Linked DNA regions of Drosophila melanogaster. The protein of the gene in region 1 binds, or shares a complex with, the protein of each later gene. Each region holds a gene or a part of one and is shown on either strand. Other genes may lie near its edges.

The links. Proteins that work in one complex are often made in the same cells at the same time.
Region 2: wac (region 1) and dgt5 share a complex: the UniProt entries of both Drosophila melanogaster proteins name them as parts of the augmin complex.
Region 3: wac (region 1) and dgt3 share a complex: the UniProt entries of both Drosophila melanogaster proteins name them as parts of the augmin complex.

What each region holds. Positions count from the first base shown.
Region 1 is NT_037436.4:256,111-259,597, reverse strand, and holds wac (wee augmin), read right to left. Parts: upstream 1,423-3,487; 5' UTR 1,207-1,422; coding exon 1,203-1,206; intron 1,193-1,202; exon of another isoform or gene 1,148-1,192; coding exon 835-1,147; intron 776-834; coding exon 601-775; 3' UTR 501-600; downstream 1-500. Other genes in the region: Tudor-SN (tudor staphylococcal nuclease), read left to right, coding at 1-95; DIP2 (DISCO interacting protein 2), read left to right, coding at 1,973-2,045, 2,397-2,468, 2,542-2,949, 3,005-3,384. UniProt on the Drosophila melanogaster protein: As part of the augmin complex, plays a role in centrosome-independent generation of spindle microtubules.
Region 2 is NT_033778.4:12,465,678-12,473,460, forward strand, and holds dgt5 (dim gamma-tubulin 5), read right to left. Parts: upstream 6,099-7,783; 5' UTR 6,052-6,098; intron 6,046-6,051; exon of another isoform or gene 5,875-6,045; coding exon of another isoform or gene 4,267-5,874; intron 4,206-4,266; coding exon of another isoform or gene 3,235-4,205; intron 3,173-3,234; coding exon of another isoform or gene 3,076-3,172; exon of another isoform or gene 2,974-3,075; intron 2,516-2,973; 5' UTR 2,396-2,515; coding exon 2,301-2,395; intron 2,234-2,300; coding exon 1,956-2,233; intron 1,893-1,955; coding exon 668-1,892; intron 602-667; coding exon 414-601; intron 348-413; coding exon 76-347; 3' UTR 1-75. Other genes in the region: CG8545 (uncharacterized protein), read left to right, coding at 3,076-3,172, 3,235-4,205, 4,267-5,874; Nepl10 (Neprilysin-like 10), read left to right, coding at 6,238-7,783. UniProt on the Drosophila melanogaster protein: As part of the augmin complex, plays a role in centrosome-independent generation of spindle microtubules. The complex is required for mitotic spindle assembly through its involvement in localizing gamma-tubulin to spindle microtubules.
Region 3 is NT_033778.4:20,991,678-20,995,913, forward strand, and holds dgt3 (dim gamma-tubulin 3), read right to left. Parts: upstream 2,705-4,236; 5' UTR 2,647-2,704; coding exon 2,629-2,646; intron 2,578-2,628; coding exon 2,249-2,577; intron 2,187-2,248; coding exon 1,824-2,186; intron 1,763-1,823; coding exon 1,097-1,762; intron 1,038-1,096; coding exon 860-1,037; intron 796-859; coding exon 652-795; 3' UTR 599-651; downstream 1-598. Other genes in the region: Prosalpha3 (proteasome alpha3 subunit), read left to right, coding at 3,314-3,316, 3,426-3,631, 3,769-4,236. UniProt on the Drosophila melanogaster protein: As part of the augmin complex, plays a role in centrosome-independent generation of spindle microtubules. The complex is required for mitotic spindle assembly through its involvement in localizing gamma-tubulin to spindle microtubules.

The sequences.
Region 1 (3,487 bases):
AGTACAAAGCCGCGCAGGAAGCAGCTCGGGTCGCGCATCTGGCCATCTGGAAGTACGGTGACATAACGCAAGATGATGCGCCCGAGTTCCGCTAAAAGATGCCCGGAAACGTGGAGTAGGCCTGTGGCGTGGAGCGCGTTGCTAGCCGAAAAGATTGTCTGCCACATACCCGCCCTTTATATACATAACAACAAGCAAGAACTTAAAGAATATGAAATTACTAATTCTATCTATACACCAATATATATGATACATATACCACATTGGAAATACACAAATACATACATATGAGCAATGGCATGGAAGAACACGGTACACTTTTTGTATGCTTTAAGCAGCTGGCAAATTATTATTTGGTCTTCTAGTTTTCCTATCATGATACTTTAAATAAATATTTGACACAACCTAGCAACAATTGGAACGTTTTTAAAATGCGTACAATAACCAAAATAAGTGCACCCTCTGATTGTGTAGTGTTCCAAGTTGTAAACCTCAACATTCATCTTTAAAATTTGCAGATTTTATGTTTTTGTAAAGTGTTTTGCATTACTGAGTAAATACAATTAAATAATTTTTTAAAAACGAAAGCAATTCACTTCTTTAGCGCTGCTCCAGCGAATCTACCTTCTCGATGACACTTTCAATGCTAAAATCCTTTGGGATCTTAAGGGTTTTTTGCCGGTCCAGTAAGGCCTGTTTTGTTGCAAGCTGTTGGGCGTTTCGCTGCATTACGACGATATCCGGGATGAGCCGCTCTTCCGCAGCAGCATTAAATCTGCAGAAGAATGGTTTTGGTCAGGGATTCAACTATTAAAGGGATTTGTTCACCAATACCTCTCCAACATAACTACGTCCCTAGTCGCCTCCTCGATGGACGAGAGGATGCGCTGCAGCTCTACGCGTTGCTGCACTGTGGTCTGCCGGTTTTCTATGCATTCCCTCTTCTTGGCACAATAGAAGTCGCGCAAGTAGTTCAGATTGATGTCGTGAATGTGCAAAAGTGAATAATATTGGGCGCATTTGTCAAGGAGCGCCAGGTCATCGTCCGAGAAATCGCCCAACTCGACGCTAGCCAGCTTTAACTGGTCATCGAAGTGCTGGCCTAGACGCATCAATGAATTGACTTCCTCTTGGATCTTCAAGTTCTCTGCATCATAAGAATAATTAGTTGTATGCCTAGCGTTTTTTTTAAATAAACTCACGCATTTTTACTGGAGATGACAAGCTATCGATGGTTCCGAAAAAGATACTACCGCTTTGCTCAAAACGCAGGCGTATAGGCAGCCGGCTTAGAAACAATTTAGACTAAGTTGGCAGGACTTTGCTTTTCTTCGCCACTAATCGTATCCAGGTTTCGCATGTCTTTGTCTTCGTAATCCGAATGTGATAATAGGCGCCTTAGGTGCAGATATCGATAGTCTCTACAGTATTTCAGGGCTACCTAGCAAAATGCCACCAATTGCTTTTGTTGAATCGAATTTTAAGAGACAAGCGATTAAAGTAATAAATAATAGAGCTTTTTAATTGTAATGGTTCTATGCCTAATATCATTAAAAATAACACTTAAATTCGTGGTTCGATTACTTGGGCAGTGTGACCGCATCTCGAAAATTGAAAAAGGCCGTTGTCCCAAGAGTATGAAGAAATAGTTATCAATTTTTCGCTAGTTCATAAAATCGATTTGTACTGCTATTTTTCTTTGTTTACTTTCATTGTGCAAATTCGTAAAAGACATTCGTAATATCGTGTTTTCTAACTAACCCAAAGTACTGGTGCTGCGCAAGTACGGATGTATTTATTTGCGTCGGCAAAATGTGAAATAGAATAAATGGCAAATCGATCGATTTTTGACAACGAAGTGGGAAAGTAGCGGTGTCTGGGTGTGTTTGTGTACTGCGACCAGCCAAAGTTTAGACGAATCCTCCAAGGAAGAGGATAGAACAAAACCCTAAAGCCACACTTTTCATCTGCCATGGAGCACACTGCCTCGCTGCCTGGCTACGTCCGCGAGAAGCTCGCCGAACTGGACTTAGAGCTGTCGGAAGGTATACCTATTTGAATAATACACACAAAAATAAAATATTGTTGTTAAAGTGCGGCGACTGAGTTGTAGAAAATCGCGTGAAAACTGTGGCAGACGTAGTCTGGTCTGATTCAAATCATTGGATACTTGTCGCCCCCAAATGGGATTACAAGTGCTGTTCTCGGCTTTTCTTTCGCTGAAAGCTGCCCACATATAGTCGGGGACCGACCAATTAAAAGAAAAGTGTGTGTGTTGTGTTGTGTGGCTTTCAGCATGAATACATGATTCAGTCGCTACTCCACGCTTTTCAAAAAACGACGAGGCCCAGCGGACATATTAATCGTTAAGAAAACAATTCCATCTGCTTTTCTAGGTGACATTACGCAGAAAGGCTACGAAAAGAAAAGGGCGAAGCTGTTGCAGCCGTTCCTAAAGAAGCCAGAAGGTATGTTCGAAAACATTGATATTTGGTCGTTTGGTCGTCACCAGAAAGTTCTTGATCCTTTTGTTGTGAACAGGCGATAAAGTGAAAAGTACGCCGCCACCGCCATACTACAACGTTAAAAATGCCAACAACAGCACCAACCACGGAAACATCAATAACGACGGCGTCATTGTGTCCAGCGAGGGCTACAGTTATGTGACTGAAGTGCCCTCCCTGTCCTCCTCGCAGCAAAGACATTCCAAAAAAATTGACTTCCATCAGCAAGCCGCCATGAGCTTGTCATCGGCACCACAGAGCGGAAATGCTGGGGCTCCTGGCTACGAAAATATGCGACCGCAGGGTGGAGCAGTCGGCGATCCCGGGTATCAGAACACTCGCGAACCAAGTGCTTTTCAGAACCAACAGTCAACTAATAATAGTCAGCATCGTCAACGACGCACACAGCGCAAAGTAACGCACAATGAGAAACGTTATCATTCTGGTTAGTAGAACAAGTTACAGCAACAACATTTTATCTCTGATCATCTGACCCCTAGAAGTACGACAAGAGGCTGTGCAACAGGCCCTTGCAGCTCTTAAGGGACGGCCAAAACCCAGCCTTCCAATGCCATCGAAGCGCACATCTGTATTAAACCGAAGCCCTGGGTGCAATGATGAGCTGGACTCATCGACGGATGACGAATCCATACCCGAGGAGACAATTTCCCCCGACAAGGAGTACAATTATCCACGGGATCATATAAGCAATAGCATACTGCCACCAGAACCGATAATTAAACCTCCAATTCGTGAATCATCGATGGGTTCACAGCAGCATGCGAGGACAGACGTGAAACAGAACCAAATTACAAATCAAAAGTATACGGCGCCGAATAGCGCTCCAGAAAGGCGACCACCGCAAAACTTACCCCCACTTGTGAGTAATATAATAATAATACATTTAAAGAGGAAAAAAAGCTAGCTTCGACAATATGTTGATTGTGAATATTTATTGCAGTAAATATATACTGTTCAGATGT
Region 2 (7,783 bases), on another chromosome or scaffold:
CATTCTAACAGTACAGGATATTCATATAATTTAAAATTGAAAAGGGCTACAGTATTCACAACACAAATAACGTACTTAATTAGGTGGCGCTCGCATCGAACTTCCATTGGTGGTCATGCGATAGTAGAGATTGAATTCGGACTCGTAGTCCGCGAAACTGCCATTGTTGTATCGTTTACTGGGTGGAACGTAGCGTCGCAATGGATTCTCAAGCAGGAACTGATAGATGCGCTCGGCCTTTTCCAGCTGCAACTGAGTCTTCACCCCAATGGCCATCAGGTTGTCCAGCAATTGGTCAATTTCCTCGTGCTGACGACTCGCCTTCAGTCTCAAATCGTGCGGATCAACTGGGGAGCAGGGTGATACGTTTTCTATCAGACGGATATGAGACAAAATGTCGGAATCGAGCTTACCAATTAACGGCTGCAAATTCAATTTCAACTCAGACGTGTGTGCGGCAATTGCTGACGCCCACAAAATGCGTTTTCGGACTTCCTGCAGAGCGCCGAAGGGTGTTAGCAAATAGCCTGGTGCCAGTTGAACGGTGGAGGCCAACTCCTGGGCCTCGACGATGAGTGGATTGGCCGACAACAGGAAGGAGCTGTCGGAAAAAACATGAACTCTGGATTAATTGGAAATAGCACATTCAGCTAAAGTATGCTCTCACCAGGCGCGCGGCGTACAGCTAAATTTTTCCAGCGGTATTTCCAAAAATGTATTGAATTCCAGCAAATGCGATGGTAGCGTGGCTCCGGATGCAGCCATCAGTGTGGTAGATGCTGCTCCGCCCGGCACTAGCGTTTTGTTGTCAAAACTGCGACGCATCGTTGAGTTTATTGCGCTGCAGTTGCCATCGAACTCCACCTTGGTGCTGGAGAACACACTATCATTGGCCAGGCAAAAACTCTCCGCACCCAACATGGACATATTGCTGACTTTTAGCTTAGTGCTCATCAGCTGGGACTTGGCGTTTTGTTTCTGTGTGGCCGCTTGCATATCGTCCAGCAGGTTCTTCATCATATTTCGCGAAAACAGGATCTTCTCCTTGATCTGTGACAGCTGCACCATATCTTGCTGGATGCGATTGATGCTGGAGTTAATGTCGCCGTATACTTGTTTCACAGAGCCTAGCTTTAGATCGTGATTCTCCAGCTGCTTGGCGCCCGCATCTAGCTCCAGACGCAGTTGCTCAATCTGCTCACGAAGGAATTCGTTTTGGGAGCGATTAAAATTGCGCATGTTGTACTGCACCAGATAGTCGCTAATCAGTTCATCCGCATTTTCCTCGTCGCCCAAACTTATGCCATTAAATCTGTATACCTTTGATTGCAGTTTGTCCACAAAGACGCTGTAGTCTTGGCAAAAGCGTTCCTCCTTCAGTTCCAGCTCCTTTTGGGCCGCGAAATATTTGGCCGCCAGACCCAGCATATCGGCCTTGGTCTTTAGTAACTTGACCTCATAGTTATTCAGCGGTGGCTTATCATTTGTGCATTCGCCTCTGGATTCATTCAGCTTCATGATGTGCTGCAGCTGCTCCTCTTTGATCTTCATTACCACGTTCAGAAGCAGGGAGTTGGGAATATCCGCAAAGGTGCTCCGCATCTGATCCCATAATCGCTGCTTGGCCTCGGCTAAATTGTTCACCGCATTGCCATCGTCACACATTCCATAGAAGGTCTCCAGCTGCTTGAGAGCCTGCTCCACAGCCCTTGTTGCCTGCGCCTCGCTGGCATTTCTAGCACTCAGCTTCACGGGCGTGGTGCCCAAGATTTGGATCTTGTTCTTCAACTCCTGGTCGTAGTTCTTATTCAGCGACTCCAGCTTCAGGTCAAGGATATTGCATTTGGATTCAAGTAGTTGCTTCCGGTTCTCAGCACTGATGGTTTGAATGTCTGTATGGGATTCACCGCATTAAATTGACGTCAAGGTTATCAGTATGTTCACTTTATACCCACTCTTGGTCTTGATGCCGGCAGATAGCTTTTGGTACTCTTTTCGGGCCTCCGTAAGCTGTTGGTTCGCCTTCTCCTTGTGCTTCTTTAGCTCCTGTATTTTTTGGTACCTCTGGAGCTCCGGTGGCTGGAAACTCCTAGAGGCCAGCGGCACCATTTTGTCCTTGTAGCGAGCCACTTGGGCAATCAGCAGGTTCTCGCGCACCTCCCGCACGTAATCCACCGGCTGGATGCGGGATTGCAGCTGGTTCAAAAGTAAACTGGAGCCGGACTTAAAAATTCTGTGAAGCAAAAAGCGGGTTTTAAGTACGGATAGTTGCCGATTTGCCTAACACAGCTGTAACTTACCTTCGGAGTGCATCATCGGTGGGCAGGGCAGTGGGCGGGCAGCCAAGATTAGTGGCCCAGTTCTTAAATTCTGTTATTTTCTCCTGGTATGCCATGATTTGCAACTAATTAAATTTTTCGCAAAAAGGCGCAGTCGTTTGAACCAGCCATTCACCAACACAATCAAATATGGCAGGGTTGTCAACAAACTACTATTCGCATCAAGTTGGCAGCAACTATAACGGTTATTTAAATTAATTTTTCATTTTAAATTACAACTAAAGATCATATCTAATTATTGAATGGATATAATACTTACTTATAAGCAAGAATTCTGTTAATTAGATATATTCCAGATTTTTTTTATTTATGATATTTTTGGATTTACCAATTAGTTTACCAACTCGTTTTTATAGTGCTGAGAAATACGTTTGCTGCTAAACAGCTGGGAGAGCAAGTAGCTAAAATATCTTAATTAAAAAGTTCCACGTGTTTTCCAAATATATATACTAACGTAATCTGTATAAATAAACTGTGTAAGAATCAAGCAAAGTCCGACAAAATAAAATTTAAAGTAATATATAATTTTATTAGTTATTAATATATGTTGAAAAAAAAACATTGTTCATAGCTAGTTAAAAGCTGAAAAGTTGACAGCACTGGCTCAAGCAATTCCCTCTGACCAGTGCTGGAAAACACTCGCTGTCTTTTGAGCGGCGCACGTGGAGCAAAATCGAAGTGCTCACGTTTTTTTTTAAGTTCTGCTCCAAGAAACTGGATAAACTAAGTTAAAAATATGGGTCGGAAGGCTGAATACAGTGAGAAACCGAAAAAGGGACCTGGGCGCAAGGCGCGCAAGCAAGGACCGCCTGTTTTTCGCAAACAATCGTTTGGTGAGAGCTCCTGAATATTACCCTATTCAATGGGTGTTCAATTCAAATGTTTTACTTCACAGCTCCCATGGAAGAGGAGGACAAGAAGCTTTCCCACCGACAGAAGCAGAGGTTCGTTAAGCGAGAGCAAAAGAAAGTAGTCCAGAAGGCCAAACTACAGGAGAAGAGGGCCAAGGGAAAGTTACCACAACCGGCTAAGCGGAAGACGGCCTACAACAGCGACAGCGATCCTGAGGATAATGAAGAGGAACCACAGGTTGCATCCTCCGATGAGGAGGTGCCTCAACTGGTGCCGGCTCCGAAGGGCCAGAAAGCTACAGCTCCCAAGGGTTTTACAGATGATAATGATGCCTGGCTGAAGCCCAAGAAGCAACAGAAGCAGCCAGAAACGGAGTCCGAGGAGGAGGAGGAGGAGGATGAGGAGTCGGAGGAGGACTCCGAAGATGAGTTGGGAGAAGAATGTGAAGAGGAAGAGGAGGGAGACGATGAGGAAGGATTGGAATCTGATGATGATACCGCTCAGGTTGGCAAGCTGGCCGATCTATCCGACGATGATGATGCCAACTCCGACGATGACTTTGACATATCTGGCGAGGAAGATGGTGCTCAGGCAGACAGTGATGAAGAGGAGGATGAGGACGACGACGATGATGATGATGATGATGATGATGACAAGCTGCCCATCGAGCGGGCTAACAAGAAGTTGAAAAAGCGCGAGGCAGAGGAAGCCCAACTGGCCGACGACGAAATGTTGGAAACCGTTGACAAGCAGGATGTTTTCCAGCTACCCGTCGAAGGCGAAGAAACCGAGAAGGACCTAACCCTGCAGGAAGTGCAACAGCGCATAAAGGACGTCAGTCTGGTTCTTTCCGACTTCAAAAGGTATCGTCAAGCGGATAGGTCTCGCGGGGAGTACATCGATTTGCTGCGCAGGGATCTGTGTTTGTATTACAGCTACAACGAATTTTTGATGGAGAAGCTGATGGATATGTTGCCGCTGACAGAGCTAATGGAATATCTGGAGGCCTCAGAGGTTAGTATATTTCATAAAAAATATAGTTACAAGATTAATCATTAAAAATTAACCCCTTTAGATTGCTCGTCCCCTAACCATACGCACCAATACTCTAAAAACACGTCGTAGGGATTTGGCCGGAGCTCTGATCAATCGTGGCGTCAACTTGGATCCCCTTGGTAAATGGACGAAAGTTGGATTGGTTGTCTTTAACTCACAGGTGCCACTGGGTGCAACTCCAGAGTATCTGGCTGGCCACTACATGATCCAGGGCGCCTCTTCGCTGTTGCCTGTAATGGCACTCGCCCCGCAAGAGAACGAACGCATCCTGGACATGTGCTCCGCCCCAGGTGGAAAGGGATCCCACATCGCAAGCATCATGAAGAACACTGGTGTGCTCTTCGCCAACGATTCTAACAGGGATCGCATCAAGGCCATTGTTGCCAATTTCCATCGCCTGGGAATTGTAAATGCAGTGGTCAGCTGCGAGGATGGCACTAAGTTCCGGAATATTATGACTGGCTTTGACCGTGTCCTGCTGGATGCTCCGTGCACTGGAACTGGCGTCGTCTCTAAGGATCCCAGTGTGAAGACCACCAAGTCGGAAGTAGATGTACAAAGGTGCTACAACCTGCAGAGGAAGCTTCTGCTGACTGCCATAGATTGTACGGATGCGAAGTCATCAACTGGCGGCTACATTGTATACTCAACTTGTTCGGTGTTGCCCGAGGAGAACGAATGGGTCATCGACTATGCACTGAAGAAGCGAAATGTCAAACTTGTGCCCACTGGTCTGGACTTCGGCGTGGAGGGCTTTACCAAATTCCGTCAGCATCGGTTCCATCCTAGCTTAAACCTTACCAAGCGCTACTATCCGCACACCCACAACATGGACGGGTTCTACGTGGCCAAGCTCAAGAAATTCTCCAACACCATACCCATAACTAAGGAGCAGCAGGAGGAGGATGAAAAGCAGCTGGATGAGGCCATCGAAGCGGACGCCACTACAGAAGCGGCTGCGGAGTCTGAGGAGGTGGAGGAGGAGGTAGCGTCAAAGGAGAAGGGTCCCCGAAAACTGCTTGGAAAGCGCGCCGGAAAACCCAGTTTCACCGAAATCGAACAGGAACTGAAGAAAAAGAAGCGGGAAGAGAGCAAGACCAAGTATGTGGCCAAGGTGTTTGAGCAGCCTGTCAAAAAGCCAAAGCCAGAAAAGCCAGCAGAGAAGAAAAATGAGAAATCCCAGGCACCGGACAAGCAAACAAATTCAAGCGAGTCACCTTCCAAGTCTGCACCTAAACAAAAACAAACCAATGGGAAAACCACTGTTTCCAATTCAGATGCGAAATCATTCAATAAAAAGAACAAAGGATCGCAACCCAAGGAAAATGGAGCCGGATCACCAGCTAAACCAGATGACAATAAGCCAACAACCAATGGCACAAACTCCCCTAGCAAATCAGCAATTAAGGAAACGAAAACGAAGCCACAGCCGAAAGGAAAACAGTCGCCCAAGGGAAACGCCAAACTGGCCAAGGCGCCGCGAGTGGATATCGACGATGTGCCCATTCTCGAGGGAAAACCCATCAAGAAGCAGAACAAGCTGAAGCAAAAATCCAAACAGATCGGCCAGCTGAAAAAGTCCACGGCGGGTGCGAATGCGGGAAAGAAGCAAAAGTTCAAGAAGTGAACACCTTAGATCCAGTTTTGTTAAGTAGACTATAAGCGTGTGACATATAGTTGGGGTAGTCCCGACGCGATTACCAATTTTATATTGCGAACTGTCTTAGCGAACGATTGAAGATTGAACTACAACAGCGGTGTAATTAAGATTCAATAAACGTTAAGATCGGTTTAATGTACTCACCAAGCGGGTTTATATAGGTGGCAGGCACATTTCATTAGAGGTAATTGCTCTACATTTCAAATGTGAATTCTAGTATTGACCAAGCTGTCACTATCAGCCCCAAAGCTCTATAGGTAGTTCGAAGGTGGCCGAGCTCAGCAGAGCGTTGCGATAATCTGTTGTTTCATTGTGAATCGAGCGAGCTTAATGGGATGTTTACTTTTACTGTGCTCTTGCCTGGTGGCATTATTCATTCCCATCCAGGCAATAGTGGACATCAACGTGGCAACGTCGAACGATATTCACAATAATCTCAATAGAACAACATCACCGTGCACGAATTTCTGGAATTTTGCCTGCGGTCGCTTCTCCAGTGCCTCTAAATATGTGGACAACTTTGAGCGAGTCGAGGATCAGTTCGCCACTGCCATGGTGGAATTCATGGAGAGCCACTTGGGTGAAAACGATACACTGGCACCCCGACTGATAAAGCAAATGCGACAATACTACAAGGCCTGCAAGGAGGATACGCGAAAGCTTCACGGGAATCCTCGTCCCGAAGAACTGGTCAATCAGTGGATTTTGCATCCTAAAAAATTTCTCGTATACGGCTTGAATGGTGTATTCATTGATGAGCGAGTTGATGTGGCCGCCAATGATTCCATGCGTTGGGTTATTCAGTTAAGGATGCCTGACCCGGCTGATAGATATAGTGACCGCCGTGTCTTGCAGCTCATGCGCCTTTACGAAGAAGCGTGGTACTCGATGGGAGTGGTTAAACTGGTGGAGAAAATGCATCAGCTGCAGGATAAGTATCGTGCAGAATATCCTGTTGTATATACATGGAGTTTCAGTGAATTAAGGCAGGAAATCCCTATTCCGCATTCCTTTTTTATTGAGTTATTGGGCGTGAACCACACCGAGGAGCTTTATCACCTGACTTTCGAGGTGAGTGATGTTGAGTATTTGCGGGAATGTTTTCGCTGTCTACGGGATTTCGCCAGTGAGCCGAAGGACACGTACATTCGAGCACGCCAATATGTTTTAGTGGAGGAGTCGGAGCCAAGGGAGCGGAATCCAAGAAGCTGCATTCACCATATGCGTGCCTATTTACCCCTGGGCATGAACTACATCTATGATCGATTTATATACCAAAACCGGGAGGAGGATACCAGTAAGGTACTGGAGATTTTATCCACTTTAAAGGCAGCTTTTGGCCAATATTTAGATGCCAATCGCCTGCAGCTTACGCCAAACCAGTTGGCCTATGTAAGAGCAAAGTTGGAAGGTATTCAGATCAAAATAGGAAATTTGCCTGAGGAGAAATCTCCTGAGTTCTATAATAACCACTATGGAAGTGCGAACTTTTCCGCGACAAACTTCCTGGCCAATCTCCTTGAAGCATTTGCCCTACGTACCCGTCTCCAGAATGCTGGACTGCTTGCAAGGAATTCTCGAGTGGATCTGCGGCACTATTATGTCAACGATAACGTAAGGAAGGCTCGCACTTCTCCCTTCTATGAGAACGAAAGGAACACCATTACTGTTCCCATGGAATTTTTGCAGTGGCCCTTGTTCGATCACCGAGAGCACACCATCTTCCAGCACAGTCTTCTGGGCGCAGTCCTGGGCCACGAGATGAACCACGCCTTTGAACAGGAAGGTATACTCTTCGATGCAGCTGGAAATGAGTCACCTGTGGGCTTGGAGATCCGGGAGTCGAAGCCTTTTCGGGATGCCATCAAGTGTGCGG
Region 3 (4,236 bases), on another chromosome or scaffold:
GGTTTATTTGACTAAAAAAACACACTTTGCACAAACACTTCACTTTATCCAATTGTATTACCGGAAGTCACGAGGGGAAAGATGGCCCGAAGCACGATAATCGAGTGAACCAGTGGCCACAACTGTTGGTCCTTTTATATCCGCAAGGACCTCTGCTCGGCAAAACTCGTCCTGCAGCCCGAATGCCGGCAGCCAATGAGAGTCCTGCAAATCGGCGGGCAAATGACTTCGTCTGCACGGAAAGTGAATCTCTAGGTTAGGCGAACAAGGTTTTATGGCCTCACTTGTTGCTCCTTGGCCAAATCTGAATGGTAATCGCTTGGAAACGCCGTCGCGTGCCGCCAGCAATTAATGCGTCTCTTTGGTGGCACTCGTGTAGACTGCTTTAAGACGATGCTGCCTTAATACGCCCGGTGTTTAGTGAACCCAAATCTGATAGCCCAGGGAAAAGGCATTTCAAAGGGGGGAAAACAATTACCAAAGTCGTAAGCAAAAGTAAATCATGTTGCTGCCTAAGAATCTTTACATACACACATTATACAGCATCCCTAAATTTAGTGTATTGACTTATTATTAGACTAGCAACGCCGTAATGTTTATTTTTGAATAATTTAACATTTATTTACTGACCAGATTCTAAATCAACTAAGTTCACTTGCGGTGCAGACCACCACCTGGACGAATTACTGCAGCGGCTGCCTTTTTGACCTCATCAATTGCATGCATCATGCGCTGCGGCTCAGTGAGAAACCAAATCCACAGGACTACGCTATAGCGATACAGTTTATCCCGCTCCTAAAAGGATAAACAACATTAAAATGTTATATTCCATGATTTTATAGTTAATTAGTATACTTACAATGCGCCCCACGACATTTTCCAGGAAATCTTTTCGCAAGGAACGCCCTGACTCATCCAGGCGAGTTTGCTGCTGGGTGACATTGTATATGGCGCTCAAGTAGCGAACGTTCTCAAACATGGGCTGCTCCAATGGGGAATCATAGACAAACGGCCGCAAAGTCTGCTCCAAGCGCTTGCTAAAAAAAAATATTAATAGCTTAAACGATCTGTATCAAAGTTAAGTATTGCAACTTACAGTTCTGCCAGTTGATCCTGAACAGCAGCACACGACTTTCGGTTCAGCATGCTCTGAAAGGAGTAAGACAGCAGGCGACCGAACTTTTCGTATTCGAAGAGACAAGCCTTGGCCTCAGTTGCCTTTATGTTCTGTCCCAAGTGGGCTGACAACAAATTGGCAATCTCCTGCACAAACTGGGCACAAATGCCCTGATAACTGGCGTTAATGGAGCGCATGGTCTGGATTCTTTGCCAAGTGGCCTGCGCTTGGTCGCGCAACTCCTCCGAAGTGTCCAGGCAGTTGCGCTTCTTGTCGCAGTCCAGTTGGATCGCAATCCACAGCAATTCCGCATTGGACAGAGCATCTGAGATGATTTTAGTGAGCTTCTTGTCGCTTTCATGACGTCGAACAGCTCTTTCCAACTTCAGTTTAGTGTTCTCGTAGAGAACCAGCTCAATACGTCGCTGGGTGTGCTGCTGAATGTGAATGGTTAGATCGTTTAAAAGCGTATCGTGTGTATTGCTCAGTTGATAGTCGTTGAGCAGCTGCAGATCGTGCATTTCACGCGCCATGTCCGTTAAACTGAGGCAGTGAATCTTGCCAAGATCCAACTGGTCAATAAGACACTGCGTGGCCTTCACCTTGGCCTTTGTTCTTATGTAGGATAGTGCATAAAACTGGATGCTGTAAAAACGGTCATATCAATTAATGTGCATTGTTTTTAGCACAGAACCTTTGTGCTTACCCACGTTCCAAGTCCTCCAGCTTGGCCTTTTCGCGCCCAAGATCTTCCTCCGCGCTCTGGAACTCATCATAGTCCTGGATCTTAAAATTCTCCTTCACATACAGAGTAAAGTATTGCATAAATGAATCGCATTTGTGGAAATACTGCTCCAATGGCAGTTGATGCATGAATAGAGGCGGCAACTGTGGGGCGGTGAATGCCTTTTTGGCTTCGGCGCTTAGCCGGCAGTTCTCCTGCTGCAGTTCCTCCAGTTGCTTGGCTTTGGACTGGCACTCGGCTATCAGATCCTTCTCCCTCAGTTGCAACTCGGCGGTGACGCACTCCACCTCGCCTAGGTGCTTAGTTATCGAGTGCTTTGTGGTCCTGCAAAAGTGGATTGACCATCGATCGAACATATATGAGGAAGGTTACAGTTTTTCCCTTACATCATATCTTCCAGAAGCGTAGCATAATCCCTTGAGGCATCTTCGATCGCCTCAATGCTCATGGTCAAGGCGTCGACATCCTGCTGCTTGTAGTTGAGAAGCCCCGGACTTTCGGCCTCGATTTGCAGGAGCTTGAGCTCGCGATCCGAAGCACTTAGCCACTCGCCCCGCCGCTGCATCTCCTCCCGCTCCAGAACCTGTCGCTCTGTGAGGATATTTGCATCCGTGATGTTCCCGGACAGGAACTTGAAGAACATCTCCATCTGCTCATCGTACAGAATCCACTGGTTCGAGCTGTCCACTCCCAGCTTCTTGAAGAATTCCGAGTTCTGCAATCATGGCGATTATAAGCTGATCATTAATTAAATCATCACACATACGCTCAGCAGATCGCCCATCTTTTAAAAAAATGACAACACAAGCTGATTACTTATCGGTTATATCGAAAGGTTTCAGAGACGTTACTAGAGATGGTACCTTTTGAAAATTAACAGGAAATAGTGCTTAATAATTAAGCTTAATAAAAATCGTAGAAATTCCTGATTTCCTATCAACGATTTCATGAAATATTTACTCTTATCTATTTCTGTTAAATATATATATATATAATATATATAATATATATATATATATATATATATATATATAATATATATAATATATATATATATATATATATATATATAATAAATTTCTGTTTATTATATATATATATTTTATATATGAATTATTTTAAATTTTTGCTATGAAGTAAGGATACAATTTTTCTAAATTTGACACAAGTTCTTAAGTTTAATTCAAGTAAATATTATGTTTTAGTACACCTCAATCTTAAAGGGCTTATAAATTGATCTTTGTTAAAATGATTTTAATACCTTATATCGATATGTGGATAAACGTGCACACCACCCCTGGTAAATAGAAACACCCTAACGCCATCTAGTTTGCAGCCCTGGTACCGCTTTGGACGCACTTCGTGTGGCAGTCTGGCAACCCTACACTGAATGACAAGTAAATTCTGTTCGTTTTGCAAAATAAACTTGTAAATTGGTATATTCCTTAGCAATGGTAAGTACCGCGCCCAGAAGACCGGTATTGGTCTGAGAGCCACCATTGGGCCGATGACCATTGAAGGCTAGCAATCGTGGTAGTAATTGACTTGCGTGTATTTTCCCAGGCTCGCCGCTATGATTCCCGCACCACGATCTTCTCGCCGGAGGGCCGTTTGTACCAGGTGGAGTACGCCATGGAGGCCATCTCGCACGCCGGAACCTGCCTCGGAATCCTCGCCGAGGACGGCATCCTGTTGGCAGCCGAGTGCCGCAGCACAAACAAATTGCTGGACAGCGCCATTCCTTCGGAGAAGATCTATCGCCTGAACGAGTGAGTTGAAATTTCAGTAGTATATCCTACGATGAATTCAAGGGTCACAGGCCATATATTTAACTGGCCATGATCTTAATTACCCACTACATTCTCTACGAATCTATCTCTATCCAAGCCTCTTTGTTTTCCCTCAGCAACATGGTCTGCTCGGTGGCTGGCATCACCTCCGATGCCAATGTGCTGACCTCAGAACTGCGTCTGATTGCCCAGCGTTACCAGTTCAGCTACGGCGAGGTGATTCCCTGCGAGCAGCTGGTGTCGCACCTCTGCGACATCAAACAGGCGTACACTCAGTACGGCGGAAAGCGTCCCTTCGGCGTCTCGCTGCTCTACATGGGATGGGACAACAAGTACGGCTACCAACTGTACCAGTCGGATCCCAGCGGCAACTACGGCGGATGGAAGGCCACCTGTATTGGCAACAACTTCGGTGCCGCGATCTCCATGCTGAAGCAGGAGCTGGCCGATAAGGAGAACGTGAAGCTGACGCTGGCGGACGCCAAGGATTTGGCCATCAAGGTACTGAGCATGACCCTGGACACCACCAAGCTGACCCCGGAGAAGGTCGAGATGGCCACGCTGCAGCGTGTGGACAATAAGAC